4 linked regions of the Macaca fascicularis genome follow. The main gene of each other region encodes a partner of the protein of the gene in region 3 in a complex. Links are inferred from orthologs where the notes say so. Each region holds a gene or a part of one and is shown on either strand. Other genes may lie near its edges.

Region 1 (3,561 bases), on a different chromosome or scaffold from region 3:
AGTGCGGTGGCGCGATCTCAGCTCACCGCAACCACTGCCTCCTGGGTTCCAGCAATTCTCCTGCCTCAGCACCCCCGAGTAGCTGGGATTACAGGCTCCTACACCACGCCTGACTAATTTTTTGTATTTTTAGTAGAGACAGGGTTTCACCATGTTAGTCAGGCTGATCTTGAACTCCTGACCTCAGGTGATCCACCTGCCTCCGCCTCCCAAAGTGCTGGGAATACAGGTGTGAGCCACCGGGCCCAGCCATAAAACAAGTTTTAAAAAGTTTTTTTGTAAGTAGAAATACAAATAAATCTCCCAGAAATGAAAATATGCAACACTGTATGCATAAATAGTATGTCATATAGCACAATTTTGTAATTCATTACCAGCCTTTAAATCCGCATTCTATTGTAAGTAAATATTAATTGAAAAAGCAAACAATTTACATTTCATAATCACAATATAAAATCTTCAGGTCTAAAATACATAAAGTTCTCCGTGAATTAAAATATCATAAAAGAGCTCAAAACACATGGTTAAATAAGTTATATTTAATTAGTAAGATCTTCAGCTAAAATATAGCACCTATCCTTGAATGGGCAGTAAAACAAGAGAGGAATCCTCCTGCATTGAAAGAGCTGTATGCTTGCCCAATTATTATGATTACACAAAATAATAATTTAAAAATTCCTTCTGTTACATAGAAAACCAGGCCCATGGCGGAGGTGGAGCAAAAGATGTAACTTCGTTCCAAAAATAATTATCTGGGATAAGAAGGGTAGTGATTCAGGCTGGGGGAGAAACCATTCTTTAATTCAACTGGGAACTGAAGTAGGGACTCTAGAAGGGAAATGGTACCTGCTAAATGCACCACAAAAGCCCCTCCATCTAAACTCTAGGATCTTATGGAAAAGGCTCCTTCGAAATGAGTATTCGCTCAACAGATCAGTGGCTGGGGGTGATGAACCTGGTTAACCACAAGGAGCCTGGTGAAAAGTTTTAGAGTGACAGAGTCCTATATCTTGACTATAGTGAGGGTTACAGAGCTGTACACGCTTAAAAAGGGTCTCACTATATGTAAATTACACTTTGATATAAAGAAAAAAGAATATTCATTTCATCTCAGAGTCTATCTGATACATAAATTAGAACAGTTCTTTAGGCCTAGAGGAGGAAATGTCAGAAATCTGGCATATGAAAAATCAGATTTTTATAAAAACAGAATAAATATATATGTATAAGTCCATAAAAACAAAGCAGATATACAATAATTATATATCAATTTTAATAAAATGTAGGAAAAAAGTGAAAATTAGGGGACAGAAGCATGAGTCAAAGAAATATGTCAAAAGCTGTCCAGCATGTACAAAAGACGCCATGCTTCCAGATATATTATATATATATATATATATATACACACATACACACACACATATACATATATATATTTTTTTTTTGGAGACAGAGTCTCACTCTGTCCCCAGGCTGGAGTGCAGTGGTGCAATCTCGGCTCACTGAAACCTGTCTCCCAGGTTCAAGCGATTCTCCTGCCTCAGCCTCCTGAGTAGCTGGGACTACAGGCACATGCCATCACACCCAGCTAATTTTTGTATTTTTAGTAGATACCGGATTTCACCATGTTGGCCAGGATGGTCTCGATCTCTTGACCTTGTGATCCGCCTGCCTCGGCCTCCCAAAGTGCTGGGATTACAGGCGTGAGCCACCGTGCCCGGCTGTATAAGTATATAAATATGTTATAAATATATTGTCAATATATTATAAAATATCATATTTTATAATGATCTGGAAGCATGGTGTCTTTTGTACATGCTAGATAAATCAGTTGCAACAACTGATTTTATTATAAAATATATAAATCATTTTTTAATATAAGTTAAATGTCACTCATTGAGAGAAAAACTAGAAGGCACTGATACTTTACATAATATGGGTAATTACTAAGAGGGAGTATCGTACTCTGCTACTCTAACATTACTAGAAGAGTTAATACAAGGATAAAAGGAAAATAAAACAAAAAGCCCTTTCAAAACAAAAACAAACAAAAAACCCCACAGCTCCTTTCTGTAATACTAAAGACATTTAGAAAGGTTTGGTCAGACTCTAACTCACTTGCTGCACACCACTCCCACAGGCCAAAAACCAAGTCACAGAGAACAAAGAGGTCCCATCCTTGTGCCCTTTCTAAAGGCGAGGAAGCTTTCTCAAAATGCCATCAGCATATTTCTCTTAATATCCACTGGCCAAAACTGTACCACATGTCCATTCCTAAAGCAATCACGGTAGGGAAACAGAATTACTATGGTTGGTTTAGATGAGATTCTAAACCCTGTGTACATTTAACAATCATGTGGGGTTTCTAAAAATTACTGATTTCCTGAGCCCCATCCCTGAGATTCTAATTCAAATGCCCCTAGCATTGGCATTTACTTTTAAATTCCCTCGGTGCTTTTTAATGCACAATTGAGGTTAAAAATGCTAGATCTGTCTGCTAGGAAACGTACTAGAGAAGCAACTAATGATATGCCCCTAAAATTCTCCTGGTTCTGAGAACAGCACCCACTCTCAAGAGGGGGAACACCAGCCTGCATATTTATATAGAACGGCTCTGCCCTACAATAACCTACCCAGTGGTAGATTCCTAAGTCAGACCACTCAGATTCTCTCTCCCAAGAAGATGATCATCCAAGGTAATCAAACAGTGTTATACTTCCTTATGATGTACGTATTTCTAAATGGTAGATGAGTATAATACGAGCAAGTTATACCAATTACTTACCTAATGTGCATCTAAGCTGGGGTTGAAGGCTAATAAAAATTTCATCTCTAACTTCATTCAGACAGGTCTCTATCTCTGCAAATATTTCTGAGGTAAGTTTTTTACAATCTCCATCTAAGAAAATACAAAGAACATTATCAATTCCTCATCGATGTGTATCTTGCCACAGAAAACTGAGACATTCCCAAGAATGAAAGCTGAGTCAGTAAGTTCTGCAAACAGAGACAAAAAGCAAAACACCAAATTTCCTTAATTCTTTCTCTGTGGTATACCATATATTCCCTTAATGTATGTTATCAGCACAATATCATTAGTACTTACCTAATGGGTAAAATCTCGGGGAAAGCCTTTCTCACCCATATAATCACAGGTATAGCAAAATAACCTTTCAGATGCTATGTCTATATCTAAAACAGCTAAAGAAGTTACCTCCTTATGTGCAATTACTTATACTACAAATGATTTATTCATTTATTCCACTCTGTGTAACTTTTATTGAACTTAGCCAGGTCATAGGAACAGATAAATTTATAAGGAGTCTTAATAAAGTTACAATTATTTCCCAAACTAATACCTCGTATATTTCCCTTCTATGTCATTTTTGAGGAGTCTGAAGGGGTCTTCAGTGGCAACATAGTGTTTATTTGGTTCCACATCCTGCTTTGTCTACACAAATTTGCTTCATTAAAACCTCTGACCAACCTGGGCAACAGAGTGACACCCCTATCTCTTAAAAAGAAAGCTGGGTATGGTGGTACACACCTGTAGTCCCAGCT
Region 2 (4,206 bases), on a different chromosome or scaffold from region 3:
CAGGCTTGAGCCACCGCGCCCGGCGCATGGAATCAATCTTAACCATGGTACCAAACTCTCAAGTGAAGCACGCTGATGCCCAGTGAAAGCCAGGTGTTTGGTATAATGCTGACCTAGTGACCTCTGGCCTTTTTGGCTGTGCTCATTGCCTGGTCCCAGTAGTCACTCAGTGCCAGGAGCCCAGGGAAAGGAGCAGGGGCTGCAGGAAGGAGGGAGGTGTAGCACAACCTGCTCCCACTTCAATCATCACCCAACCACATGGCCTCTGGCTGACCATCAAGTAGGCCCAGCATTTTCAATCCACACCACAGGCCCATGTCCTAAACCAGGATTTTACAAGTCTCAGGGAACTGGCTGCAATAGCTATAACCAGTATACCTCTGGGACCAGCAGCCGGAGCACTCCAAATGGCAGGCATGTAGATTCATAGGTAACACATGCCCAATTTTTCCAGTTTTACCTCTTGCTTTTATGAACCAGAACAAGTTTGGGAGGTTGAAGTAGGGAGAGGGTTGGAAATCATTTCAGCATATACTTTTTTAGGTTCTGCCAGACAACCTTTTATTACATCAGAAAAGCAACACTAGGCACTAGATCTTGCAAAATATGTTCTGACCAACTCTAAACTTTCTGAAGTTATAACCACATCAGTAAGGTTTTTAATGAACAAAAAAGTTAAATACAAACTTTCATATGCAAAATAGATTATTGTATAACTGGCAACCTCAGAGCCAAGTACTAAATTTTCTTCCACAAATTTCAGTGGGGATGGAGTGGGGAGATGTCAGTCTTAATGAGTAGAAAACTTAATTTAGGCTTAATATATAGAAAACAAAAACTCTGAGGAAAAATAGCTTTAAATTGAATAGTATCTTTTGAATTAAACAGCTCAGGCCAGGCCCTATAATTCTGAGGTTTATACTCAATCAGATCTGGGATGAAAATGAAGATTTAGGGTTTACAGTTACTTCAAATCCATGAATCCAGTTTCAAGACTAAGCCAAGTCACCTCATTTCCAGAAAGGGAAGTCTCTTTAAGATGACAACACATCTCTTCGGAAGATGCTTGGATAGTCAGAGTTCCTTGGGCACAGGTCCACTGTTCATGGCACTGTGCCAACGCTGTAGTGTCAGACTTCCTCTGAAAGGCAACGGGAGCCCTATCCCACAGCATTTTCATTTCTCCCAGCATTTTTGAGCCTCAAAAAAACAAAAACAAAAAACAAAATCCCAAACCCTCCAGCTTCATGTTGGCAGTTACTGCTCCAGCTCCACTTCCTTCCGCCCCCAGTGAGAGTTCCCTCCTGGTCTTCAGCAGGGAGTGGCAGCTTGAGTAACATTCCTTTCAGAAATAAATAGTTCAAACAAGTAATTTAGAGCTAACTGTAAAAGAGCAGCAGCAAATGACCACTGCCCATTATGTTTGCAAACGAGTGAGTGAATGAATACGCTGAACAAACACACAGAAAACAAACAATTCACAGAGTAAATCCTGCATTTCCCACATTCATAGGGAAAAGAATCTCTTAAAAAAAATAGTAGTTAGCGTTTGTTCTTGTGTGGGTTGAACAGTCCAAAGCTCTGAGCAGGCACAGCCTTACAAACAGGATTGCAAGCAGCCCTCTGCACCCCAAGTCAGGACTAGGGTGCAGTGAGAGGCCTTCATGCACTTTTGACAGCTCAGTACCTGTGAGAGAACAGAAGTGATGCAGGGACTTTTTAACCCACAATGCATGAGGTATATGGAAATGTCTGTGAAAGAACCACCAGCAGCTAGAGGGGACCAGGCAAAGTTTTCTCACAGCAACTGCTGATGAAGGATTTCCCACACCATCTTCTTCCGGAAGAGAGGCATCTGGTGCTGCAAAGAATCCCATAAACAACACATGCATTACATCATAATGTGCACAGCAGCACAACCTTCAGGTGTAATCATGTCAATAAAGCAGGATGTCCATGTTCTTTTTCTAAATGTTGACATTTTTATATCATGGAACATACTTATCAAACCATTAAAAGGCCGGGCGCAGTCCCAGCACTTTGGGAGGCCGAGGAGGGCAGATCATAAGGTCGGGAGATCGAAACCATCCTGGCTAACACGGTGAAACCTCGCCTCCATTAAAAATACAAAAATTAGCCGGGCATGGTGGTACATGCCTGTAGTCCCAGCTTCTCAGGAGGCTGAGGCAGGAGAATCACTTGAACCTGAGAGATGGAGGTTGCAGTGAGCCAAGATCATGCCTCTGCACTCCAGCCTGGGCAACAGAGCAAGACTCCATCTCAAAATAATAATAATAATAATAATAATAATAATAATAATAATAAAAAACTAGTGATGTCCTACCTAGGGGTGGGGGCTAAAAAGTCTTAACACATGATTCTTAAATTATTTTAAATAGTTCAAAACATCTAGTAAAAACTGCACATTTGCTCTTAGTAAAACTGCTAAGACTAAGCAATAAATGCCTTTATTTTTTACTGGAATTGTATTAATTCAGCATGGGAGTCCTAGTTACTTCATGTAATACAGTTTGTATTATAGTTTGTATTCATGTAATAAATACAGTTTGCTTGGTAGACATCTATCAAAATAAAGTCTGTGGATGAAAAATATATATATATATTTTTTGAGACAGAGTCTCGCTCTGTCGCCCAGGCTGGAGTGCAGTGGCTGGATCTCAGCTAACTGCAAGCTCTGCCTCCTGGGTTTACGCCATTCTCCTGCCTCAGCATCCCCAGTAGCTGGGACTACAGGCGCCCGCCACCTCGCCCGGCTAGTTTTTTGTATTTTTTAGTAGAGACGGGGTTTCACTGTGTTACCAGGATGGTCTCGATCTCCTGACCTCGTGATCCACCCGCCTCGGCCTCCCAAAGTGCTGAGATTACAAGCTTGAGCCACCACACCGGCCTGAAAAATATTTTTAATGAGGTTGTCCTCAGTTGTAAAAAGGTTGAGAATCCACTGTTACAAATTCTCAAGAATTCCCAACATACTTGAGTTTCCAATCAAATGCAGAGCCATGGAGAATTAAACAAACAAAAGAGCAGAACAGAAAGGAAGAGCAGTATTCACAAGTTACATCTTAGACCTGTGACTTCAATGCTCACAGGCCTGTTTTTCCCTTCCTATTAAATACTGACATACCTCTTTCTTTGGCTAGAAATAATAATACACAGGAACCAATGAATGCCAGAGTTCAGAGGTTTGCAATTTGTGCCCATTGTGTACCAAAGACTAGGATAAACCTGAGAGCAGATAAAATAACAAACCCTGATTCTGGCAGGGGTAGGGCTAAAACCAAGATTTACAGCAATAAGAATAGCACAGCTACTACTATTTTTTTTTTTTTTTTTGGGGAGATGGAGTTTCGCTTTTGTTGCCCCAGGCTGGAGTGCAATGGCGTGATCTCGACTCCCCACAACCTCCACCTCCTGGGTTCAAGCAATTCTCCTGCCTCAGCCTCCCTAGTAACTGGGATTACAGGCATGCGCCACCACGCCCGGCTAATTTTGTATTTTTAGTAGACACAGGGTTTCTCCATGTTGGTCAGGCTGGTCTTGAACTTCTGACCTCAGCTGATCCACCTGCCTTGGCCTCCCAAAGTGCTGGGATTACAGGCATGAGCCCAGCTACTATTATTTATTTATTTTTGAGACAAGAGTCTCGCTCTGTTGCCAAGACTGGAGTGCACTGGTGTGACCTCGGCTCACTGCGACCTCTGCCTCCTGGGTTCAAGCGATTCTCCTGCCTCAGTCTCCTGAGTAGCTGGGATTATAGGTGTGCACCACCACACCTGGCTAACTTTTGTGTTTTTAGTAGAGATGGGGTTTCACCATGTTGGCCAGGCTGGTCTTGAACTCCTAACCTCAGGTGATCCGCCTGCCTCGGCCTCCCAAAGTGCTGGGAATATAGGTGTGAGCCACCACGCCTGGCCAGCTACTACTACTGAGAGCTGAACATGTGCCAGGCACTGGCCAAGTGCCTTATCTTGCTTAGTAACAAGTAAATGAATGAGGAGGGTCTTCACTCACCTGAGTAAATGTGATAGGTTTGTCCCTAGAAATATAATCTGCATATTTACAAGTAAACATTCCACAATCACTCCCATTCAACTGTTGAGGAATCTCCTAAAATTACAAAGAAAAAAGAAGGGAGGAAAGGGTAAAACATCATTATATACAAATCCCTTGGACTTTTTCTAAATA
Region 3 (4,355 bases):
CACCCTTGCCCACTCCCGGGACGCCGGTGGCTTGGCAGCAGCCTGAGTGGTGAGCTGGCACACCCCCATCCCCCCATCCCAAATGTGGCCTCCAGCGCAGGGAAAACTGGCCTAGGAAGGAAGAGCATGCAAACAGTTCCAGGCGGGATGGAAGTGAGGACCCCTGCATGAGCCCCCTTCACTTCCCCAAGCATGAGGATGCACTGGCTTCTTTAGGGAAGGAAGATATGAGTGTGTTCAAAGGCACAGATGCAGGGCCCACACGTGTCCCCACAGGGTAATGGCTGCAGCCCCAGGAGAGGCTGGGGCAGGGCAGGGCCGGCCACAGTGCCTCTGCTCCAGACAGACAGACACCAGCAATGTCGGTCTGTCCCAGACCCCTGGTAAATTCCTAATAAGCAAGTGAACTCGTGAGTTAAAAAATGAAGCCCTAAAAACATGGGCCTCAGTTTGCTAGTCAATCCTCCGCCTCAGCTATCCAGGGAAGTCAGAACATTCTCCTGCCTGACCCAAAAGCTCTTCTTTCCAGCACCACTGGGCCCCAGAGTCCACTTCTTCCCCTTCCTCAGAGCCCCACAGGGTAGAGCTGCTCCCACATGGGCTCAGAGGGGACCCACCAGGAGCAGGGCCTGTGAGGTGGCAGCCACTCAATCATTCTGGAATTCAACAAGTGTTTTCAACGGAATTGGAGCCTGAGGTTGACCACATGGCAGAGCTAAGTGTAAACACTGCTGAGAAAATGAGTATCATACATATTTTATTACATGTACTCTTCATTAAGAGGAAGCCACCTACGAAAACATAAAGAAAGGACATTTATATTTGGCCTAGTTTTAACAAGTATTTAAATATTCAAACAACCCCTGAGTGGGAGAACTTTGACTTCACTGGAGTCAAAATGTAAAAAGCGAAGGTCACTCCAAATGCCATCTGGATAGGGGAGGTTTCCTTGGAGTCTGACCACAGCAAGCAGAGTGCAGACTTCCAGAGGCCGCAACCATGGTTCCGGACGGTTCCATCCCAGTTTCCACCAGTGTCTGGCACTGAGCCTCCACCCTCATCTGTAAAGGGAGGGTGGTCACCTCCAGGACCAGGCCAGTATCAGAGACAGCATCCTTACAGAGCCTTCAGCTCTAGTCATCTTCCACTAGGATGTAACATAGAGGCCAAGAGTGCACACCAAGGGCTTCCGAAAGGTTCTCTTTTTATGAACACTGGAGACCGCGACTAAGGACCCTCCCAAGGAGGAGTGGCCAGTGCACCTGAATGAAGGGTGCATACCCCAGGACTGAGACTGGAAGGATGCACACCCCAGTGTGGCAATGGGGGAAACTAAAGCACACCCAAGGCTGGATAAGGAGGGGTGGGTGCGCATGGCAGGGGAGGCGCAATGGGGAGAGGTGGGCACACACCATAAGGGGCGTGATGGGGAGAGGTGGGCACACACCATAGGAGGTGTGATGGAGAGGGGTGGGCGCACACCGGGGGACGCGACGGGGAGGGGTGGGCACACACGGGGGGTGTGATGGGGAGGGCGACGCAATACGGAGGGGTGGGCGCACACCAAGGACGCGATGGGGAGGAGTGGGCGCACACCGGGGGGCATGATGGGAAGGGGTGGATGCACACCGGGAGACTGATGGGGAGGCGAGGGCGCACACCTTGGGGCATGATGGGGATGAGTGGGCACACACCATGGGCGGCGTGATGGGGGGGGTGGGCGCACACCGGGGTACGCGATGGGGAGGGGTAGGCGCATACCCGGGGACGCGATGGGGAGGGGTAGGCGCACACCGGGATATGCGATGGGGAGGGGTAGGCGCACACCGGGGGACGCGATGGAGAGGCAGTGGGTGCACACTGGGGTCACGACCGGGGAGACAGGAAGGAGAGGGGTGGGCGCACACTGGGGGACGCGACGGCCAGGACGCGGTGTGGAGAAGTGGGTGAATACCGGGGGCGCGATGGGCGCCCTGGAAGGACGGCAGCGCTGCTCACAGGGGCTAGGCCCCTCAGAGCGCGCCCCTCGGGGGTAACCCCAGACGCTTATTCCTGAGCCGACTCCGTGCACTTGACACAGGACCCCGCACCCAGGGCGATGCCGGGGGAGAAGGCGACCCCGCCCAGCAATGACTCAGGAGAGGATCACGCAAAGACGCCTCGGGGACACTGCCGGGGCGGGATCCGAGGGCGCTGCGCTCGGCAGGAGCAGCGCAGGGCCCGACACCCGGCGGTCTGGGAGGCGCTAGGCGCGCGCCTTCCCAGCTAGGGAGGAGATGGGCGTGGAGCTGGGGCGTGGCCAGGCCCGGCGGGGACGGAGCTCGCGGCACAGCGCGCTTCGGGGAGGGGCCCGTCTTGGGCGGACCCACTTAGGGGCAGGGCGCTACAGGGGGCGGGGGGGCGGGGCGCTATAGGGGGCAAGGAGAGGCGGAGCAGGGGCACGGGGCGGAGTCGGGCTGGGGGCGGAGTCGGGATGGGGCGGAGTCAGACTGGGGGGTGGAGTCGGACTGGGGGCGGAGCCGGGCTGGAGGCGGGGCGCGCCGCCGAGCGCCGCCGGGCGGGGGAGGGGAGCGGCGCGGCCGGACGGGAGCGGGGGAGGGGCGGGAGCGCGGGCGGCGCTGCAGGCCTGGGCGCGGGTCCCCGTGGAAGCTGCGGTCTTCTATGGCCGCGACAGTGGCGCGCGGCGGCGGAGGCGCCCGGGACGCCCGCGATGGCCGCGTGTGCGGGCGGGGGCGCCGCGCTTACCTTGGGCTTCTCCTCGGACATGGCTGCGCGGGCGGCGCGGGCAGGCGGCGCGGGGGAAGCAGCGCGGAGCAGGCGAGTCACGCTCTCGGCCCCGCCGCTCTCCCGCCGCAACTGTGCGCGGGGCCGCGCTTTATCCCCCAAATCCCGGCGCACCCGTTGGCCGGCACGGGGTCACGTGGCGGCGCGCGTGCACGAGGCGCGCTCCCCGGGGCGTCGGGCGCGCGCTGGCCGGGCCGCGGCTCCGGGCTGTTGGAGATGCGTCACGGGGCGGGTCCCGCGCGACCCTGGCGGGTGCGGACGCCCTGGGGCGCTGTGGTGGGCGGGCCAGGAGCGCGTACGGGGACTCCGGGCCCTGGGGACCCCTGCCCGCCTCCCCGCCCGGGCCCGGGCCCCGAGTCCTTTCTTGGGGGCCGCGTTCCTGGGGCGCCAGGAAGTGAGGCCGGGGGCGCGGGGACCTGGGGCGGAGGAGGGAAGCCTCTGGGGGTGATGTTCCCTCTCGGGAGCCGCGGACAGAGCGGAGGAGGCGGCCCGCGGGGTCCCGTCAGCGGAGGCCGCGCGAATCCGGCCAGCACCTAGACGGTTGGGGGCGCCACGCGCTTCCCTGCAGCCGAGGGTTCCTGTCAGCCGCAGGCCGGGCTCCTTCGGCCAACGCTCCTACGGGGCTGCCCCGGGCCCTCCACACCCGTCCTCAAGAAGACCCGTTTTTCCTGTGAAGAAACTGAGGCACTGGGAGGTGACACCACCCCCAGGTCAGCGCTGGTGAGGGGCGTCGAGCTGGGCCAGGCAGCCCCGTCGCCGAGCGCGGGCAAACCCAGGCTGGACGCAGCCAGTGCCGGCGGAACGGGGACCGCGTGGACGCGGGAAACGCGCCGGAGCGCTGGGCCGGCCGGACGGCCTCCTGGGACTTGCGGGCGCCATTCCTGGGATGCCCGGCCAGCCTCGGCCTCCCTGTCTGTGATCCCAGGGCCTCGGATGGAACAGACATGAGGGCGGACACCCCTGCATCCGTCAGGAGTGCCAGGGTGGTGCCAGCCGGGGCGTGGCGGGGGTCTCACCTGAAGTTGAGCCCGGCAGAAGGTGGGGGAGGCCGCACCTAACAGGCTCAGCTGGGAAATGGCAGGGCTTGGATTTGAACCTAAGGGTCTGAGCCGTTTCTCTCCTGCCTGGGTAAGGCCCAGCCAACTGAGCAACGTCGCAAAGCCATGGAGACAAGTCTTCATGGACCATAACTTCACAAATCGTCTTCGACTCAAAAATTCACTTTCTTGGCTAGAGCCCCCACTTAGGAGCGGGAAGGCTGCTGAAGTCTCTCAGGGAGAGGGTCAGAGAGTCAGCCTGGCTTCCAGGCAGGTCATATGGTGTGGTCCCTTCCTTCCGGAACCTGGAGCCCAGGGCCTCAGCAGAAGATGTGGAGGTGGGTGGCCAGCTCAGACTGTCCTGGGAGGGGGCTCCGCAACCAGCCCCTTCCCCGGAACGCGGGGCCTCAGAGCCCTCAGATTGCTGGCGGGGAAGTGCCCTAGGGCAGGCAGGGTTCAGAGAGTTATCAACTCCAAGACACCGTTAATCATAAAACAGCAGGACCGTTGGTTGCACAGGCACACTAAACTGCA
Region 4 (3,561 bases), on a different chromosome or scaffold from region 3:
GAAAGTAATTAAACAGTGCAATGTAGTATATTTGTTTCAATTTAGTTGTATAATATCTGCAACACAATGTATGTTTCTGAGGTTAAAGGAGTTTGGTTTTTTTGGCTTTTTTTTTTCCCTTTACAGTTCTCAGTATATCACCTCACAAAATATAACAAGAGTCTTCATGGATATGTGTAGCTATATAGTGATGCTGCCAAAAAGTTTAATCCTGAGTGAGAATTCTCATAAAGTGACAAGTAGATAAAAAAAACAAAACTCAAACAACCTGAGAAAGGAGGGGAACGACTAGTGCTCCATCTATCAAAAAATCCCTGATGTTTAACCATTTAACCTAAAACTTGTTTTAAGTTACATACCTAAGTACGTACCATAAATTGATACATAATACATACCTAAAGAAGGGGAAAATTAAGGAAACAAAGAAATCTATCACAACAAAACGTTAATTAACTGGAATGCAAAGAGAGTGAATATTTCAGTTAGTTGAAAATTAGGTAGAAAGCTTTTTGTTTCCAATGCTGACAATCATTCTAAAACACACAAACCTAAATACTTAAGCTTCAATATTTATCTGATGTTTCAAAACTCCTACAACTTCAGAATTCTTACTTACCACTGTAAAGTCATAGAAACAGAGAAAGTGCTGAAGCAATTGGGCTGAGTATATATACTCTGACTCTAGCCTCTACTTAGAAAGTTAATTGTTTAAATAAAAAGTATCAAATCATTTGCATCTTGAGGTAAGAAAAAAAGAATATCCTATTTGTGGGTTTAATTTACTCATAGCATGGTTAATTGAATCATATGTATTTAAAGTATGGAAGTACATGTCTTACAAGTTCCATATCCCTTATCCAAAATGGTTGGGACCAGAAGTTTCAAATTTTGGATTTTTTTGACTTTTGAATATTTGCATTATACAATTTGAGCATCCCAAATCCAAATATCCAAAATCCCAAATGCTCCACTGAGCATTTCCTTAGAGTATCATGTTGGTATTCATAAAGTTTCAGATTTTGGAACATTTTGGATTTCATATTTCCAGATTCGGTATGCTCAAACTGTGTATGTTTATTTATATGTATATTACAATGTTGCCTGTAATAGAGCTAATAAACAGTTAATTGGCTATTAGGACTAAAAATGTAGTTATATGATACCATGTTTACCTTCAGATTGTGTATTTGAAGCTGCTAAGTTATCTGGCTGATGTGGAACAGAGTGGTGATGATGGGGTTGATGAAGAGTATCAGAATCTTTGGATCCAAATGCAACAACATCTGGGGTATAAGAAGAGAGGGAATATACACTGTGGGACAGCTGTTCCTGGTTAGTTAAAATGCTGGCAGATCCAGATGATGAAGTATCAGAGCCAATGATCTGAGATGCACAAGAGTTTCCATTTTTAAATAGTGAGTCCTTCAAAGTATTTTTACTGGAACTAAGACATCGAGACCTAGCAAGAGAAGAATATTGTTTCAATATCAAATAATAAATTGTAGAATTAAATTCATCTGAAATATGCTTCTGTGACTCACAGGTGTAAAGGAAAATGTGTGGTAGGTTTGGCTATAGAAAACTGTTTCCCTGTGACCATCTGTAGCAGCTGTCTATAAATCTCTCTTTCTTCTTCTTGAACTGTCTATAAAAACAAACAAACAAACAAAAAAAAACAGTTTAAACACATGCAATAAGGCAAGTACTTCTCAAACCAGCATGTAAATGGAATCCTAGCTCTGCCAAAGCTCAGGCAGAATCCTTAAGATAATTAAGAATTACGGGCCTGACACAGTGGCTCATGCCTGTAATTCCAGCATTTTGGGAGGACAAGCGGGGAGGATCATTTGAGGTTAGAAGTTCAAAACCAGCCCAGTCAACATAGTGAGACCCCAACTCTACAAAAGAAAAACTAAAAAAAACTGGCTGTAGTGGCACATGCCTGTGGTCCCAGCTACTAGGGAGGCTGAGGCAGGATAATCACTTGAACCTGGAAGGCGAAGGTTGCAGTGAGCGAAGATCGTGCCACTACACTCCAGCCCGGGGGCAGAGCAAGACTCCATCTCAAAAAAAAAAGAAAAAGAAAAAGAAAAAGAAATATATATATATAAAATTATCAAATGTGTAAAAGAGAGGTTGAGTAAATACCAGATAATATACTTTGAAAAATTATGGAATATATATTTAAATAATAGTGCAGAGAAGCTATAGGCTATAAAACCAGAAAGGCAGCAGGTAATCACTTCTGAGTCAAAAAAGAGTCCCAGAAATAAAGGGCCTCTAAATTAGGATTCCAACAAATCCCTTGATTCCTGAAACCTGTTAGAAAAATCACAAGGAAGTAACCAGAATAGTCCAAAACAGTTGGAGTGGAATATCTTGCCAACAGTTTCCTATTTTATTTAAGTGCAGTTACTTTCCAGAGACAATTTTCATCTCCAACATTTATTTATTTATTTTTCCTTTAAGCCCCAATACTACATTTAGGGAAAACCATATACTTCATAACATTCATTCATTGTCATGCACACCTACTATGCTCCAGTCACTAAAGATAATGAATGCATCGAATAAAATAAAGTTCCTGTATTTATGGAGATTATATTGCAGTGAAAGGAATTAAACAAAAAATTAGTCAGGTAGAATGCAGAAAATTAAAGGGTAAGAGAATGGAAAGTTAGGAAGGAGAGCAGCAGGAACAGGTAAGATTTCTCTTAAAAAGGTGGTATTTCCGCAGAAACCTAAAGCCAAGGGAAGAAGTCAGTCCTAGAAACATATAAAAGAATATTCCAAATAGAGGAACAACAAATGCCAAGCCCTGAGAGGGGAAGGTGCTTAATGCGTTCCAAAAACAGTAAGGTCCATGTGAATCAGAAGAGTAGGAAGAAATGAGATCACCTGACAGAGAACCAGATTATATAAGAACTTATAACTCTGGCAAAGCATCAATTCTATACAGGTCCCATGACTCAATGGGCTGTGTTCACTAGCACTTAGTAATATGCCCTGGCAATTTATTTTTAATCTCATATACAGTTTAATACAACCACCAATCCTCACAAAATAATTTTAAACATTATGTCAGGGTTAGCGGCATCTTGTACCGTGATATTTCAATATGTGCTGGGACTACAGGTGCCCGCCACCATGCCTGGCTAATTTTTTGTGTTTTTAGTAGAGACGGGGTTTCACCGTGTTAGCCAGGATGGTCTTGATCTCCTGACCAGCCCAGGCTGGAGTGCCGGGGCGCCATCTCGGCTCACTGCAACCTCCACCTGCCGGGTTCGAGTGATTCCCCTGCCTCAGCCTCTGGAATAGCTTGGACTATAGGTGCACGCCACCACACCCCGGCTTTTTAATTTTTAGTACAGACAGGGTTTCACCATGTTGGCCAGGCTGGTCTCGAACTCCTAACTTCAAGTGATCTGCCCACCTTGGCCTCCCAAAGTGCTGGGATTACAGACATGAGCCACAGCACCCAATATGTAGGGGTTTCTTTTTGTGTGTGTGTGTTTTGTTTTGAGACGGAGTCTCTGTCATCAGGTTGGAGTGCAGTGGCAC

Evidence for each region.
Region 1: the proteins of SUMO3 (region 3) and USPL1 are in contact, whole or in part, in a crystal structure (PDB 7ZJU), measured with the Homo sapiens proteins. The link is inferred for Macaca fascicularis from reciprocal best matches to the Homo sapiens genes SUMO3 and USPL1. Residues at the interface, in NP_008867.2 of Homo sapiens: Gln24, Asp25, Gly26, Ser27, Val28, Arg58, Arg60, Gly63, Gln64, Pro65, Ile66, Asn67, Asp70, Leu75, Phe86, Gln87, Gln89, Thr90, Gly91; in NP_005791.3 of Homo sapiens: Ala234, Cys236, Trp237, Pro321, Gln322, Leu323, Arg324, Met330, Glu331, Ser332, Val334, Phe335, Leu339, Tyr368, Thr378, Thr380, His393, Phe394, Gly395, Pro396, Asn398, Arg407, His421, Val423, Tyr451, Asn454, Asn455, His456, Phe457, His493.
Region 2: the proteins of SUMO3 (region 3) and SENP2 are in contact, whole or in part, in a crystal structure (PDB 2IO1), measured with the Homo sapiens proteins. The link is inferred for Macaca fascicularis from reciprocal best matches to the Homo sapiens genes SUMO3 and SENP2. Residues at the interface, in NP_008867.2 of Homo sapiens: Arg55, Arg58, Arg60, Phe61, Asp62, Gly63, Pro65, Asn67, Asp70, Leu75, Asp81, Asp84, Phe86, Gln87, Gln88, Gln89, Thr90, Gly91, Gly92, Val93, Pro94, Glu95; in NP_067640.2 of Homo sapiens: Gln385, Asp386, Phe393, Lys394, Leu395, Arg396, Trp410, Leu411, Asn412, Asp413, Glu414, Ser439, Thr440, Phe441, Pro444, Lys445, Arg456, Trp457, Lys459, His474, Lys476, Val477, His478, Trp479, Met497, Gln499, Gln542, Asn544, Gly545, Ser546.
Region 4: the proteins of SUMO3 (region 3) and SENP1 are in contact, whole or in part, in a crystal structure (PDB 6NNQ), measured with the Homo sapiens proteins. The link is inferred for Macaca fascicularis from reciprocal best matches to the Homo sapiens genes SUMO3 and SENP1. Residues at the interface, in NP_008867.2 of Homo sapiens: Gln24, Ser53, Arg55, Gln56, Arg58, Arg60, Asp62, Gly63, Pro65, Asn67, Thr69, Asp70, Gln74, Glu76, Asp84, Phe86, Gln87, Gln88, Gln89, Thr90, Gly91, Gly92; in NP_001254523.1 of Homo sapiens: Gln440, Asp441, Glu446, Arg449, Leu450, Thr451, Lys455, Trp465, Leu466, Asn467, Asp468, Glu469, Asn494, Thr495, Phe496, Lys500, Arg511, Trp512, Lys514, Lys515, His529, Gly531, Val532, His533, Trp534, Gln597, Gly600, Ser601, Asp602, Cys603.

The regions. Positions count from the first base shown.
Region 1 is NC_088391.1:10,421,767-10,425,327, reverse strand, and holds part of USPL1 (SUMO-specific isopeptidase USPL1), read right to left. Parts: intron 2,900-3,561; coding exon 2,786-2,899; intron 2,275-2,785; exon of another isoform or gene 2,119-2,274; intron 1-2,118. UniProt on the Homo sapiens protein: SUMO-specific isopeptidase involved in protein desumoylation. Specifically binds SUMO proteins with a higher affinity for SUMO2 and SUMO3 which it cleaves more efficiently. Also able to process full-length SUMO proteins to their mature forms.
Region 2 is NC_088376.1:97,560,840-97,565,045, reverse strand, and holds the end of SENP2 (sentrin-specific protease 2), read right to left. Parts: intron 4,129-4,206; coding exon 4,033-4,128; intron 1,862-4,032; coding exon 1,799-1,861; 3' UTR 536-1,798; downstream 1-535. UniProt on the Homo sapiens protein: Protease that catalyzes two essential functions in the SUMO pathway.
Region 3 is NC_088377.1:2,241,136-2,245,490, reverse strand, and holds the start of SUMO3 (small ubiquitin-related modifier 3), read right to left. Parts: upstream 2,850-4,355; 5' UTR 2,767-2,849; coding exon 2,746-2,766; intron 1-2,745. UniProt on the Homo sapiens protein: Ubiquitin-like protein which can be covalently attached to target lysines either as a monomer or as a lysine-linked polymer. Does not seem to be involved in protein degradation and may function as an antagonist of ubiquitin in the degradation process.
Region 4 is NC_088385.1:54,825,554-54,829,114, forward strand, and holds part of SENP1 (sentrin-specific protease 1), read right to left. Parts: intron 1,646-3,561; coding exon 1,542-1,645; intron 1,460-1,541; coding exon 1,173-1,459; intron 1-1,172. UniProt on the Homo sapiens protein: Protease that catalyzes two essential functions in the SUMO pathway.